Macaca mulatta: one gene and its partner. The protein of the gene in region 1 interacts with the protein of each later gene in a biochemical or structural test. Links are inferred from orthologs where the notes say so. Each region holds a gene or a part of one and is shown on either strand. Other genes may lie near its edges.

Region 1 (7,053 bases):
GAGGGCAAATTGCCCAGCCTGCTCAACTCCCCACCCCCTTCATCTCCCCAAGGACTCCTGAGGCAACCCCTAGGAAACTTCAGGGCTCTGCCAAGCAGTTTGAAAACCACTGGCCTAGTTTGTCCTGAGCAAGTCAGAGACCCCCCACCCCAACTGCTTGCCACAAGCTGGCTCTGAGTTTCTGGTGTCAGCATACTCACAAGACCAAGTGGCACATGCAGCCTACCACCTCCCCTAGAAATACCATTAAAAAGTGCAGCCCTCTCTCAAAAGCAGAAGTCTGGACTAAACACCTGAGGCCAATTTGGTCCCACATTCTAGCGAGCACAACTACGTTGCCACATTCTAGGACCAAGTGAAAATCTCCAAGAAGAGTCAACCATGGTCTAGCTAAGCTGATCAGTGCTCAGGACCACAGGCAGGGTTCTAGAGCACTGTGTCAGAAAGTTAGCATTGGAGAGCAGCAATCTTAGCACCTTGGAAAGTGCAGCAGTGAGGTCTGGCTCAGGGCATGCAACTGGAGAGAATAATTTCTTCCTCAAAAGAAAAAGCCATAATCTGAAGCTGTTCTAGAGGACTGCGAGTTCCAAAGTTAACATCCTCAGACTCTGAGGTACAGACAAGTAACACCCATGCAAACAGTGTGGCTTCAAATCATAAATGCTTCTAGGTCATGGTAGGTACTCTAGAACCCATATGCCTGGCCCCTGATAAAGCCGAACCAAAGCCCACAACACAGCATAGGCCAGTCCTGGAGTGCCCATCACCCTCACACCCATGGGATTCAGGGCTGAAATGGTCCTCTCAAGGCATCAACAGTCTCACTGAGACACAGTGTGGGACCCAGACTGTACTCAAGATCAGCACTTATGTCCACAACCTCGAAAGGAAAATTAGTTAGGGCCCCAATTTAGAGTTTCAGTTTGGGTACAGAGGTCCCAGAGATTGGAAACACTTTAGGCACCATTGTGCCTGAGTGGGAGAGGAGGGTGGCAGGCAGGTCCAGCTACCTAAGCCTCCACCCATCCAGGCTCAACAGCCCTGCCCTTCTATCAGAGCCCGGGAGGCAGCAGCAAGTGCATGATGCACAAGGAAGGGGGATGATGAAGGAACAAGGCCAGCTGCAGAACTGCTCTTCTCTTCAAAGCCTTGCCAATTACTTTCTGGAGAGAAGCAGCAGAGCCCTCGGTCTGGATACAATGTTTCTCTCTAAGCCTTGAGGCATCAGGACAAGGGCAGGGGAAAGGAGGGGTTGGGAGGAGGGACAGAGAACTGCCCCTAGTTCTTGCCATTGCAAGAGGGAATGTTTTCTCCTTGAGGAATCCCACCACCACCAGATTTGCCAGGCAGCCCAGCATGCACACCAGCATGCGTGCACATGCACACGTGTGTCCAAGCAGCCCACTGTTACAGCCACCTCTCCCTATCACCTGAGAACCCCCAAGCTTCCATTCCAAAAGGATGTGCCTTCTGCGTTCCCCAAATCCCACTCATCTAATGGAATACAACTGCTTATGCAAGTCCACCTTCCTCAGGGCTGCAAACCAAGTTCCAGGTCATTTCATGTGCCCACACCTATAGGTGTGATCCCTCCCACATCCCCCAGCCCTGGATCGACTCCATCTCCTGCGTCCCTAAACTTGCCAAAACATTTCCCTCACCTATGTGTCCTGCTCACTCTTCCAATCGCCTACCTGGCCTACTCAGCTGCCTCACACACTACCCTTCCCCTGCCCATCCTGTTCCATGCCCACCCATCCACCAACTCCATTTCTTCCAAGGGCATTTCTCTGTTCTGTTCCTGCTCTCCTGGCCCCCAGCCACACCTAGCCCCACCTGGCCCTGGACTTTCACTTGCTAGCAAAAAAGGCCCCTACAGTTACCAGGGCCCCCAGTGCCACGGCCCCCGTCAGCACTGTCCTCACTGATGCCCAGTTCCCCTCCCGCAGACGCCGCGCCTCCTCCAGGGCCCCGTCCCCGTATAGAGCTGTGAACTCCGCCTGTGGGAGAGAAGGGAAGTAGGAGAGAAAGAAGGAGAAAGGGATATCAGGAGAGGAAAGAGTGGACAGAAGAGGAGAGGAAGAGTTCCAGTTCCATCCACTGCCAACACTACCCCATACCCAGCTCCTCTCTGGTCAAAGCTCTTCTGGCTGCAAGCCCCTCTGATCCCCCCAGGTGCACCCCCACCCTGAGAGACTGGTTCATTTGCCGCCCACTCTGCCTCCAGTGAATTCCATCCTTTCCTTGGCGAAAAATTCTGCTCAGAACTAGCATCCTTTGCCAAGGCTTGCCTGACCACCACCCATCCCTGGTCCTCCCCACCTCCCACACCATGACTCAGGTGCAAAAAGTCCCTGACAACATTCCCCTGCAGGCACTCCTTGGGTGTGGATTCTGTCCTCTGCTTGGGACCATGAGCCCATCCAGTGTTGACTGCATGGCAGCCCTGGAGTGCAGAGTCCAGGCATCTCTCAATCTGATTCCACCCAGACGGGGAGACTCAGCCCCGCACCTCATTCCCAACATAGCTGCCTCAGTCTCCAATCAGAGCTCCCATCTTCCCCCTGGAAACCAGCTTTGCAGAGGGATGTGCAGAGCGGCAATTGAGAAGCTTCTTACCCAGCCCCCACTGCTGTGGATCCAGTCAGCCAGCCGCGTCTCCAGGTAGGCCACCATCCACTCCTGCACTTGTCCCACCAGTGGTTCCATCTCCTTGTTGACACTCTCAGCACACAGTGCAGCCCCAAAGACAAAGAAGGCTACAAGGCGGCCCCAGTTGGGGCCCCCTTGGAAAAGTTCATCGGAGACCTGGGTGAAGCGTTGCTGTGCTGAGCCTGGGGTCACATGCAGCTGAGCCGCCAGATCAGAGAAGGTGCGCCGGAAGCGGGTCTCGAACTCATCTCCAGCTGCCCGCATGGCTTGGTGCAGCGGGTCAGCTGCTGGGCCCTCCCCGGGGCCAGCTCCACAGACATAACCCTTCTGCCTCAGCTTATAACCTACAAAGTCTGCCACCAGAGCCCGTGTGTCTGGGGCCGAGGCTGGGGTCGCCATCCGGGCAGCTATAAGAGGCAAGGATGAAACACTGGCATGAATATATGGAGAGAGAATCAGAAGGGGCATTTCTGGTTTGACCAACCCAGTGAGATGAGGAGGAGAGAAGAAATGCTCAGAGCTCACTGGACAGGGAGAGGCAAGAACAAGGGAATTAAGTCATGATATGAGACCAGGCTGTGAGGGGCTGGCCATTACATTCCTAATATGCCAAATTACATTTAAAACAAGTACATTTTCTGTTTAGAGATACTTTAGATTCTTTTCATAATAAGACAACGTCAGCTCTGTGACACCCCTACAACCCTCCCACCCCTGGGCCTCCTTAGTCCACACCTCCTTGGCTAGAGGAAGGGGCTTAGGACCTCCCCAAATGCAAGATATAAAGATGTTGGCAGAGGCACAAGATGAGGGGGAGCAGATGGGCCGAAGAGAAAGGTGGGAGACGCAATGGTTTACTCCAGACAGAGAAAGGAAGGAGACACTCACCCAGCCGGGATGGCAGCTCTTAAGACACAGCACTGGTGGCAAGGAGCCCCCAGCTGGGGCCTTTCATCCTCCCGGCCAGCGTGGAGCTCTGGAAAGGGGAGGGGGAGATCAGAACCAGGAGGGGAAGGCCAGGGATCAGGTTCTGGCCTGGGAACGGCTAGGGTTGCAGCTCTGGGCCTGGGCCCCTGCCCCCAACGCTCTACCAGCTGTGTGGCCGAATCCATGTTTAATGACTGTCCTCCCGGGAAACCCAGGGCCAAGGGCTTCCTGCCGACACCATCTGTATTCGCGGTTCCCCCTAGTGCAGCCCAAAGGCCCAACTCCTCCCTTACCCCCACCTCAGCCAGTCTCCAACCCCGCCCGCCTGCCAGGTTAGGGATCTCACGGGTCAGGCCGCTGCCGGGATCCGGGCCGTTTCCTGGTGCAGGAGCTGGGAGGGAGGGAGAGAGGGAGGAAGGGAGGGAAGGAAGGAGGGAGGAGAAAGGGGGGGCAGAGGGAGGGCCCGGCGCCGGGTGATGATGGGGCCCAAAGATGCGTCCAGAGAGAGGGGCGGGGCTGGGACGCAGGCCTGCGAAGGGCCACTACTCAGGAAGAGGGAGGGCTGCTGAAGGCAGTGAAGGGCTGCCTGAGAGGGCACGGTGGGCTGGGCTGGGCTGGGCTCCTGAGCCTCGAGGCTGCCCAGAGAAATATGCCGGACTTCAGGACATCTTGGGGCAAATTTAGCATTTCCAGGAGGTTTCCGATGTTCCATGCACTTGTTGAACTTTTCCAGCCCTGAATTGTGTGCCTGGAAAACAGGAGCAGTTCCCATTAAGCTGGGAACCGTCTACTAGGTGCCTTACCCTTTTGGGACTAGCAGACACTACACAGACACCAAACCTTTCCCATCTTTTCTCCAGGACCTTTAACCCAGTGTTGTCTTTGTGGGCTGGGCTTCAGCCAGGCATCAAGGAGCCAGGACTTGGATCACAAGCAGTTTCTTCCGGTACTTTTCTTTAATTCATCTTCTTTTGTAATCAGATTGATTTTAGTGGTTTTTTTTCTTTCTTTCTTTTCTTTTTTTTTTACCCAACACAGGAACTAATTCTCATTGTGAAAAAAATCAAACAATAAAGAGGTATGGAGTAATAAAATACAGGTTCTCAAACACACACACACATACACACCCAATTCCACTTCCCTCCCTGCAGGTTGCCATTGTTAAGCTTGATGTTTATCCTTCCAGATTACATATACATGGGGCCATTATTTATACATGGCAGTATATTTATACAGGGCGGGTCACAGGTGTGAAGCAATCTGACCACAGCTGATCCACATGAGAGCACTCACAGCCAGCCCCCTGGGCTCTTGGATCTGGCACTTTCTTCAGCTCCATTTAAAAAGCAACCCAACCAAAGGCCAGAAAGAGGCGACCCAGTTCTCCTCTTCTGCTAGTACCCTTTGCTTCTACCTCCAAACCAAGCCTCTGTATTACCATCTGCCCTTATGGTCACTTGAGAAGTAAGGTCTTTTCTGCAGCAATAATAGTAACAACTAGCTGGGTTTGGTGGCTCACACCTGTAATCCCAACACTTTCGGAGGCCAAGGCGGGTGGATCACTTGAGGCCAGGAGTTTGAGACCAGCCTGACCAACATGGCAAAACCGCATCTCTACTAAAAATACAAAAATTAGCCAGCCTGTAATCCCAGCTGCTCAGGAGGCTGAGGCATGAGAATCGCTTGAAACCAGGAGGCTGAGATCATGCCACTGCACTCCAGACTGGGTGATAGAACGAGACTCTATCTCAAAAAAAAAAAAAAAGTAAAAACATATTTTGAGGAGTTATTAGATGCTGTGCTTTTTTTACATGTATATTTTATCCTGTCACTAATCCTTATGCTGTTTTATCCTCATTCTATGAATGAGGAAATTGAGGTTTGGAGAGGTTAAGTGATTTGCCCAAAGACATATACTGATATGCAAGAAGCTAGGACTCCCATCTCATGCTGTAACTTTGACACTATTGCTTCAAGATCACTTCTTGCCTTCGCATAGTCAATACTGTTTTCATAGTCTGAATCCACACCATTTACATGTCCACACTCAATTCTCTCCTCTATTCTAAACACACAGCCTATTACACTCCTTTATGGCTGTATCCTTTCAGCCAATCTTATTTCTTTTTTGTTCTTAGCCTGATCATTCTGGCTGCCACCAGCAAGCTTGCCCCCTTTAGAGAATAACCTACTCCAAGTCTTCATTTGCACTCCTGGTTTGTTTGTTTGTTTGTGAGACAGGGGTCTCACTCCACGGCCTAAACTGGAGTGCAGTGGTACAATCAGTGTTGACTTCAGCTTCCACCATCTAGGCTCAGGCAATCTTCCTACCTCAGTGTCCCCAGTAGCTGGGACTAGAGGTGTGCTGCACTATGCTTAGCTAAATTCATTTTTTATAGAGATGGGGATCTCATTATGTTGCCCAGGCTGATCTCAAACTCCTGGGTCAGCTTGCTTGTAATACAAAGTAACGTATGATTTATTATACATTAATTCATATATATAATATACATATTATATTGTGTATATATACAATATATACATTGTATATTTTGTATCATATATAATGATATGAAGAGAATACATCCATGCATTCTATATATGTATAAAATAAAAAAGTCAATATTGCTTTAAAAATGAGTCCTAGCTAAGTAGTATTGCTGCAGTCAATACTAGTGTGAATACATGTAAACAGGAATGAGTTGTATAATAATAAGATAACATGTGTCTTATGGTTTATTTTCAACTTAGTCACTTGTGGTTTTACAGTTAAACTATCCTGCTGCTTTAAATTTAGAGACTTCATTTCTACCCTAAGATTCCCTCTTTTAACACTCTGAGAATGTTACCTATTATTGTTAAATGTTTTAATCTTATATAACCAAGTGGATAAGAGCGTGGACTCTAGAGCTAAACTGTTTAGGTCCTGATCCCACCTCCCCAATTATTAACTATGTAACCCTGGGCAAGAGTCCTCTCCCCTACCTCAATTTTCTCATCTTTAAACTAGGCATAATAGTCTCTATTCATCTGATAGTTGTATTACATGGGTTAGTATTTGCAAAACCCTTACAACAGTACTTAGCACATTAAGTGCTATATAAGATCAGTAGGAAAGTTAGAAAAAAAAAAAACTAAAAACACTTCACTTTTTTTTTTCCACTAATGTAAAAAAAAAAAAAGAAAGAAAAAGAAAGAAAGAAAAAGAGGAAAAAGCCAGGTCTGTCCTTCTTGGAAGCTCCCAGTAGTTGGGAATTCCACAGTCCCAACTCCAAGAGAGATGTTGAGTGCTTGTTCATTCAATAATTTGAATGCCTACCATATACTAAAACACCATGAATCAGACAAAGCCCCTGCCCTCAAAGGGCTTACACTTGGGTTAGAAATCAGAACTCCACCACTTTTTCATAGACGAGAACACTGAGTTCAGAGTATGGTGCGGTGGCTCATGCCTGTAATCCCAGCAATTTGGGA
Region 2 (7,406 bases), on another chromosome or scaffold:
AGAGGATGCGGACAGCCAGAGAAAGGCTTGAGAGTTCACTGCAAAATCCTGAGGATGAGGAAAGGGGTTAATCAAGCGCTCGGCTCACGACGGCAGGCTGTTCCTGGCTGGGAGACCCTGGACTAGACAGTATCACCTTCTGTTAAAGGACAGGAGGGAGAGCCCCATGGGCAGATGTAGCCCTGAGAAGGAGGTGAAACGCTGCATGCAGGGTATACATGCAGATCACAAGGTCAGAAGTTCGAGACCAACCTGGCCAACACTGTGAAACCCCATCTCTATTAAAAATACAAAAATTAGCCTGCCATGGTGGCACGTGCCTGTAATCCCAGCTACTCAGGAGGCTGAGGCAGGAGGATCACCTGAACCCGGGAGGCAGAGGTTGCAGTGAGCCGAGATCACGCCACTGCACTCCAGCCTGGGCGACAGAGCAAGACGCCATCTTGGGGATGGAGGGGGGTGTCAAGAATACTTGATCTTAAATATCCAAAACGACAGGGACCCTCACTCAAATAAACAAGTGAGCTTTTCTCTGTTTGCTGCACGGCTTTTCAGTCTGGGTAACTAGGTGCCAAGTTCTCTCCCACCCCCAGAAAAACAGGTTTACTACGCAGGGCCTGGCGAGGCCCAGTGGTGTTTTGTATTGTCACATCCTAATATTGACACTAGGAAAATCAGCTGCCCTTTGTGCCCGCCCCTCTCCTGCCTGCCTCAGGGCCAACAAGGAACTTAGGGGCCGGCCACTGATTTGCTCACATTCTATGTTTCTACCAGGGACCAGCCCCAACCAACCAGTGGCAGGACAAAGGGAGGCTAGGAAGTGATCACATGTGTCCAGTTCAGACACACTGCTGGCTTCCTGGTGACCAGCAACAGTAAGACTGGTGCGGAGGCCGGGCGTGGTGGCTCACGCTTGTAATCCCAGCACTTTGGGAGGCCGAGGTGGGCGGATCACAAGGTCAGGAGATCGAGACCATGGTGAAACCCCGTCTCTACTAAAAATAGAAAAAATTAGCCGGGCGCAGGGGCGGGCGCCTGTAGTCCCAGCTACTCGGGAGGCTGAGGCAGGAGAATGGCGTGAACCCGGGAGGCGGAGCTTGCAGTGAGCCGAGATTGCGCCACTGCACTCCAGCCTGGGTGACAGAGCGAGACTCCGTCTCAAAAAAAAAAAAAAAGACTGGTGCGGAGACTTCCTCCGTACTGCTCAAACTGTTCTGAGCACAGACGGCAGTCAAAATCTCATGGGATCCACCAAGTCTGCAGCAGGGGAAGCAAAAAGCCATCAATTGTCTACACATTTAATAGGTTCACTAAAAACAGGATGCTTTCCAGGGAGAGGCGAAAATACCACCAGCAGTGGTGTCAGCTTCAAGACTCACTGGCCAATCAAGCCCTTCCTCAATTACCTCCTTCCGTTTATTTGAGACGGGATCAGAAATTGGGAAAAAAAAAAAAAAAAGTACACTGTTCTTAGTAGTCTCTGGTTTCTTTGCAGCTCTGTGGCACAAGATATCATTTTTTTTTTTTTTCTGAGATGGAGTCTCATGTTAGCCCAGGCTGAGTGCAGTGAGTGGTGCCATCTCTGCTCACTGCAATCTCCACCTCCTGGGTTCAAGCAGTCCTCCCGCCTTGGCCTCCCAAAGTGCTGTGATTACAGGCAAGTCAAATGTGTAAGAAACTTGAGCCAGGCGAGGTGGCTCACGCATGTATTCCCAGCCATTGCACTCCAGCCTGGGCAACAAGAGTGAAACTCCGTCTCAAATAAAAAAAAAACTTACAATAACTAACATGTATGCAGCCCCTCTATCTAGCCATAGAGTACCTGAGCTGTAACAGACACTGGGGATCTACCATTTGATGCTTTTTTTTTCCTTTGACAGAGAGTCTCACTCTGTGGCCCAGGCTGGAGTGCAGTGGTATGATCTCAGCTCAGTGCAACCTCCGCCTCCCAGGGTCAAGCAGTTCTCCTGCCTCAGTCTCCCAAGTAGCTGGGATTACAGGCATACTCCAACACGCCTGGCTAATTTTTGCATTTTTAAAACAGACTGATTTTGCCATGTTGGCCAGGCTAGTTGCACAACTCCTGACCTCAGGTGATCCACCTCCCTCGGCCTCCCAAAGTGCTAGGATTACAGATGTCAGCCACCATGCCCAGCCTAATGCTCCTTTTTTTGAGACAGGGTCTCACTCTGTCTCCCCGGCTAGAGTGCAGTGGTGTGATCAGGGCTCACTGCAGCCTTAACCCCTCCAAGCTCAGGTAGTCCTCTGAACTCAGCCTCCTGGGTAGCTAGGAACAGAGGCACATGCCACCATGCCCAGTTAATTTTTTGCTTTTTTTGGTAGAGACAGGGTTTCACCATGTTACCCAGTCTGGTCTCAATCTACTGAGCTCAAGCAATCCTCCTGCCTCAGCCTCCCAAAGTGCTAGGATTACAGGCACGTGTCAAATGTGTGAGAATTTTAGTCTTAATATCCTTAAGACAATAATGATAATAATAATAATAGTAATAATAATAAAAGGGCCGGGCATGGGGCCACATCTGTAATCCCAGCACTTTGGGAGGCTGAGGCGGGTGGATCGCCTGAGGTCAGGAGGAGTTCGAGACTACCTTGGCCAACATGGTGAAATCCCGTCTCTACTAAAAATACAAAAAATTAGCTGGGTGTCGTGGTGGGCGCCTGTAATCCCAGCTACTAGGGAGGCTAAGGCAGGAGAATGGCTTGAACCCAGGAAGTGGAGGTTGCAGTGAGCCGAGATCACGCCCCTGCACTCCAGCCTGGGCAACAAAAGCAAAGCTCTTGTTTCAAAAAACAAAACAAAACAAAACAAAAAAACACCCAGACTGTGCCATTTCTGAGAACTTATTCCAAAGACATGCCCAAATTAAGTAGAAATCAGGGTAAGTCTTAACTACACGGAGGCTACTAACTTGAGTCGGGCTTTCTTCATCTGGGCAGAAACCTCAGAAATACATTTTGCAGAATGAACAGAAGGAACTGAGGTTCAGAGAGATGGAATAGCCCTTCGGAGGCCACAGGGCTGGAGAGTGTAAAGAGGTTTTGGCTTGGGTTCCATAAAGGGTCCTTGGCTTCCAGCTAGACAACCCTGGCATTTCTGTGCCTCCTGTGACTGAAATCTCTTGTTTCTCCACCTGGATAACGAGGCCTCCTGCTCCCAAGGACGGACAGATGTTAATAACTTCCCGGCGCTAGTGCCCACCAGACTCTGCCCCTCCTAATGTGGGGACATGAGGCAGACACCAACCTCCCTGGGAAGCTCGGGCTCCCAGGCCACAGTAAACACTGCGTTAAAACAGCAACAAAAATGTTACAGTAGTAAGAGCAACAACAACATCAACAACCACGTCCTACCCCACGAGTGGCTCATTCTGTAAAACTGACAATGAAGGGGCTTGAAAGCGATCGCATTTAGGAGGCCAGAGCCCAGACGACGACCAGCTCCGAACCCCACAAGCCTTGTCGTGACCGCGCCCCGCAGGCGGGGGGACCCCTCTCGGGTCACCCGCAGGGGCGCACCCCCAATTTACCTAACAAGGTCGCACGCCCCAGCCGGGCTCTAGTCCCCGCGACCAGTCCGGGGCGCACCTGTGCAGGGCGCATGGGCAGGTGTGGGCGGGCGGCTGCGCGCCGCTCCGGGTGCACGTTCCTGTTCCGGACTTTCTGGGCGTCCCGTTACGAAGCATTTCCTCGGCCCTTAGGTGCACAGCGCCTCTGGGAGCCGGTCCCAGCAGCACCGGGCACGACGCCATCTTCCCTCTTTTAAGGGCACCGGGGCTGTGCGGCAGCGGCCGTGGGCTGGCGGTGCCGCGCTGCGCTCTGGCCGGGTCCGCACGACCCCAGAGGTCGGAGTCCGGTGCCCGGAAGCCGCCCTCGAGGATGGTGCGAGGGCGATGGAGCGTCCGGCCATAGCGGTGAGACGCAGAGGAACCACCCCATTGCACAGGCGCGGAGACTGAGGCCCGCAGGGGCCGCGCCTGGCACGATCGGCCGTCGGGGACCTGGAGCCCTGGGCAGAAAGGGGATGTTTCGGAGCCGGAGTCCCGAGACGTCGCCCCACAAGGGACTCGCCAGCGACTTGCTGGGGCGGAAAAACCTGGGCACGGGTCCCCACACTTCCAGCCGCTCGGCACCCGGGCCGCGGCCTGGGCGCTAACCGCCGGGCTCGAGCTGGGTGGAGCGGCGGGCGGCAGCAGGGTCAGGGGCACTCACCTGGCGGCGGCGATGCTGGCAGCGTCTGTGAGCCACCGGAGAAGCTTCGTGTCTACTGCCCGGCTGCCGGCGCGGGACCTAATAGGTCCGGGCGCCCCGCCCCTCCCGCCCCGCCCGGGTCCCGCCCCGCCCCGGGAGCGGCCTCTCGCACCCCGAGCGCGGAATCCCGGACTGGGGTCTGAATGGCATTGGCAACAGAACCGCTACAAGTGCAGCCGGTTGGCTTGTTTACAGCCTCTCTGCCCCCTGCGGTTCTGCAAGCTTGTTTTGTCCCGTGCGTCGCTGTTTCCCCTGCGCCCAGCACGGGCTTGCAGTCGAGATCGATCCATTGACAGAATCTGGGTGTATAATCCAAGCCCTTTACACAGATGGCCTCCCTTCGAGCTCAAAGTACTCCTCGGTGCTTTTTTTCACGATCATTTTACCCACCGAGGCTCCAAGAGGACGAAATGACTTGCTAAATGACAGCGTGAAGCCAGCGTTCAAAAACGTGCTCCTTAGGCTGGCAGCTTCGGGACTTAGGTGTTTTTAAGCCTATTTCACGAATATGAAAACCGAGGTTCACACTTGGGTAGCAGCAGCATCCAGTGCTCCATACCCGAAGCCAGGGGGACTGCCCCTCCACTGCCGCCCGTCCGCAGCCTTCCAGCTGCAGCACCCACCCCCTGCCTTCCCCCTCCCGTCGGGGCTCCGGGTCCGCGAGAGGCAGGTCGGAACGGGAGGGATTGGGGGCAGGGGGCCCACGTGCAGACCTGGTGAGAAGGACCCCAAAGCCCCCGCGAGGGACAGAGAAATCAGGAAGGTTCCAGGCGGGGTGGGCTGGTGGCAGCCTGCCCCGCGGGGATGAGTAGTGCCTAACAGCGGCACTGGGGTATATTGGGGGTGGGAGAAGGCAGAGCGCTCTTGGAATAACAAAGTAACAATTGTCCTGCGCACAGCAAAGCTTGTTTACCTCTGTCTTGATCCCCTCAGAGATTAGGGGAGGGGCAAGGGAGGGGCATGGGAGGGGCAAGGGAGGGGCAGGGGAGGGGCAGGGGCTCCCCTCCCCCAGCTCTGTCGTTTGCTACCTGTTGGGTACCCTCACTCTGTTCTTCCCACCTGTAGGGTAATTACTTCCCCCTCAGTGTTCTCATCTGTGAAATGGACAACAGCACCTACCAAGAGCTGGGCTGTTGGGAGGACCAGAGGAGGTAAAGCCTGATAAAGTCTTCAGAGCCCCTCCCTCCTTCTGGGCCTTGGACCTTCTTTGCTTTTGTAGTTTGTTGTTGTTGTTGTTGTTGTTGTTGGTTGGTTTGTTTTTTGAGATGGAATATCACCCTGTTGCCCAGGCTGGAGTGCAGTAGCACAATCTCGGCTCACTGCAACCTCCTAACTTTCCTCCGTCTCCCAGGTTCAAGCAATCCTCCTGCCTTAACACCCCCTAGCAGCTGGGATTACAGGCATGAGCCACCATGCCCGGCTAATTTTTGTATTTTTAGTAGAGAAAGGGTTTCGCCATGTTGGCCATGCTGGTCTGGAACTCCTGACCTCGGGTAATCCAACGGCCTTGGCCTCCCAAAGTGCTGGGATTACAGGTGTGAGCCACCACGCCCAGCCCTGTAACAGTCTTTTCTTCTAGGGCCTCCCAACTACATAAACTCCAACCCCTACAAAGCAGCTTGCCCTGACTGTGGCTACAGTCAGAAGTGGGGAACCCTTCATAATGGGGGCTTCCCTCTGAATGCATTTTGCAGATGAAGAAACAGAGACTCAGGGTGGTAAAGCAATGACACGGGGTCTCATGGGTCCAGAAGACCTGATATGAGTGAGATGCTTGCAGAGGGGTCTTGAGACTGGAGGCACAGTGCCAGGCATGTAGGAGATGTTCAGTAAACATTAGTGGAACAGATGGAGAAAGAAGGACCGTTTGGGGACACTTTGGATGATTCAAGGGTGGAGTGGGTGAAAATACAGTACTTATTTACTTTGCAAAATCCCAAGATAATATGCTGATCCATAGGAGGAAGAGATAGCTGGAGGTGGTGGCTCATGCCTATAACCCCAGCACTTTGTGAGGCCAAGGCAGGTGGATCACCTGAGGTCAGGTGTTCAAGACCAGCCTGGCCAACATGACGAAACCCTGTCTCTATTAGAAATTTAAAAACTCGGCCAGGCGCAGTGGCTCGCACCTGTAATCCCAGCGCTTTGGGAGGCCGAGGCAGGCGGATCATCTGAGGTCAGGAGTTCGAGACCTGACCAACATGGAGATCAGGAGTTCGAGACATGACCAACATGCCTAACCAACATGGAGAAACCTTGTCTCTACCAAAAATACAAAAGTAGCTGGGCGTGGTGGCGCACGCCTGTAATCCCAGCTACTAGGGAGGCTGTAGCAGGAGAATCACTTGAACCCGGGAGGCAGAGATTGCCGTGAGCCGAGATTGCGCCATTGCACTCCAGCCTGGGCAACAAGAGTGAAACTCTATCTCAAGGAAAAAAAAAAATTCAAAAATTAGCCAGGCCACTATTCACAATAGCAAAGACTTGGAACCAACCCAAATGTCCATCAATGACAGACTGGATTAAGAAAATGTGGCTCATAGACACCATGGAATACTATGCAGCCATAAAAAAGGATGAGTTCGTGTCCTTTGTAGGGACATGGATGCAGCTGGAAACCATCATTCTCAGCAAACTATCGCAAGAATAGAAAACCAAACACTGCATGTTCTCACTCATAGGTGGGAATTTAACAATTAGAACATTTGGACACAGGGTGGGGAACATCATACACTGGGGCCTGTCATTGGGTGGGGGAAGGGGGAAGGGATAGCATTAGGAGATATATCTAATGTAAATGACAAGTTAGTGGGTGCAGCACACCAACATGGCACATGTATACATATGTAACAAACCTGCACGTTGTGCACATGTACCCTAGAACATAAAGTATAATAATGAAAAAAAAATTTATATATATATAAGATTAGCCAGGCATGGTGGCAGGCACCTGTAATCCCAGCTACTTGGGAGGCTGAGACAGGAAAATTGCTTGAACTTGGGAGGCAGAGGTTACAGTGAGCCAAGATCGTGCCACTGCACTGCATCCTGGGCTACAGAGAGAGACTCCATCTCAAAATAAATAAATAATAATTTAAAAAAGAAAAAACAGCGGCAATGAGCAGGGCCTACAGCCT

Evidence for each region. The genes of interacting proteins can lie anywhere in the genome.
Region 2: the proteins of BCL2L2 (region 1) and BIK interact in a biophysical measurement, tested with the Homo sapiens proteins (2 studies listed by BioGRID and IntAct, with this or other methods). The link is inferred for Macaca mulatta from reciprocal best matches to the Homo sapiens genes BCL2L2 and BIK.

The regions. Positions count from the first base shown.
Region 1 is NC_133412.1:96,404,292-96,411,344, reverse strand, and holds the start of BCL2L2 (bcl-2-like protein 2), read right to left. Parts: upstream 3,978-7,053; 5' UTR 3,744-3,977; intron 3,629-3,743; 5' UTR 3,541-3,628; intron 3,060-3,540; 5' UTR 3,052-3,059; coding exon 2,620-3,051; intron 2,001-2,619; coding exon 1,851-2,000; 3' UTR 1-1,850. UniProt on the Homo sapiens protein: Promotes cell survival. Blocks dexamethasone-induced apoptosis. Mediates survival of postmitotic Sertoli cells by suppressing death-promoting activity of BAX.
Region 2 is NC_133415.1:8,364,704-8,372,109, forward strand, and holds the start of BIK (bcl-2-interacting killer), read right to left. Parts: upstream 4,333-7,406; 5' UTR 4,231-4,332; intron 4,165-4,230; exon of another isoform or gene 2,850-4,164; intron 432-2,849; exon of another isoform or gene 292-431; intron 49-291; exon of another isoform or gene 1-48.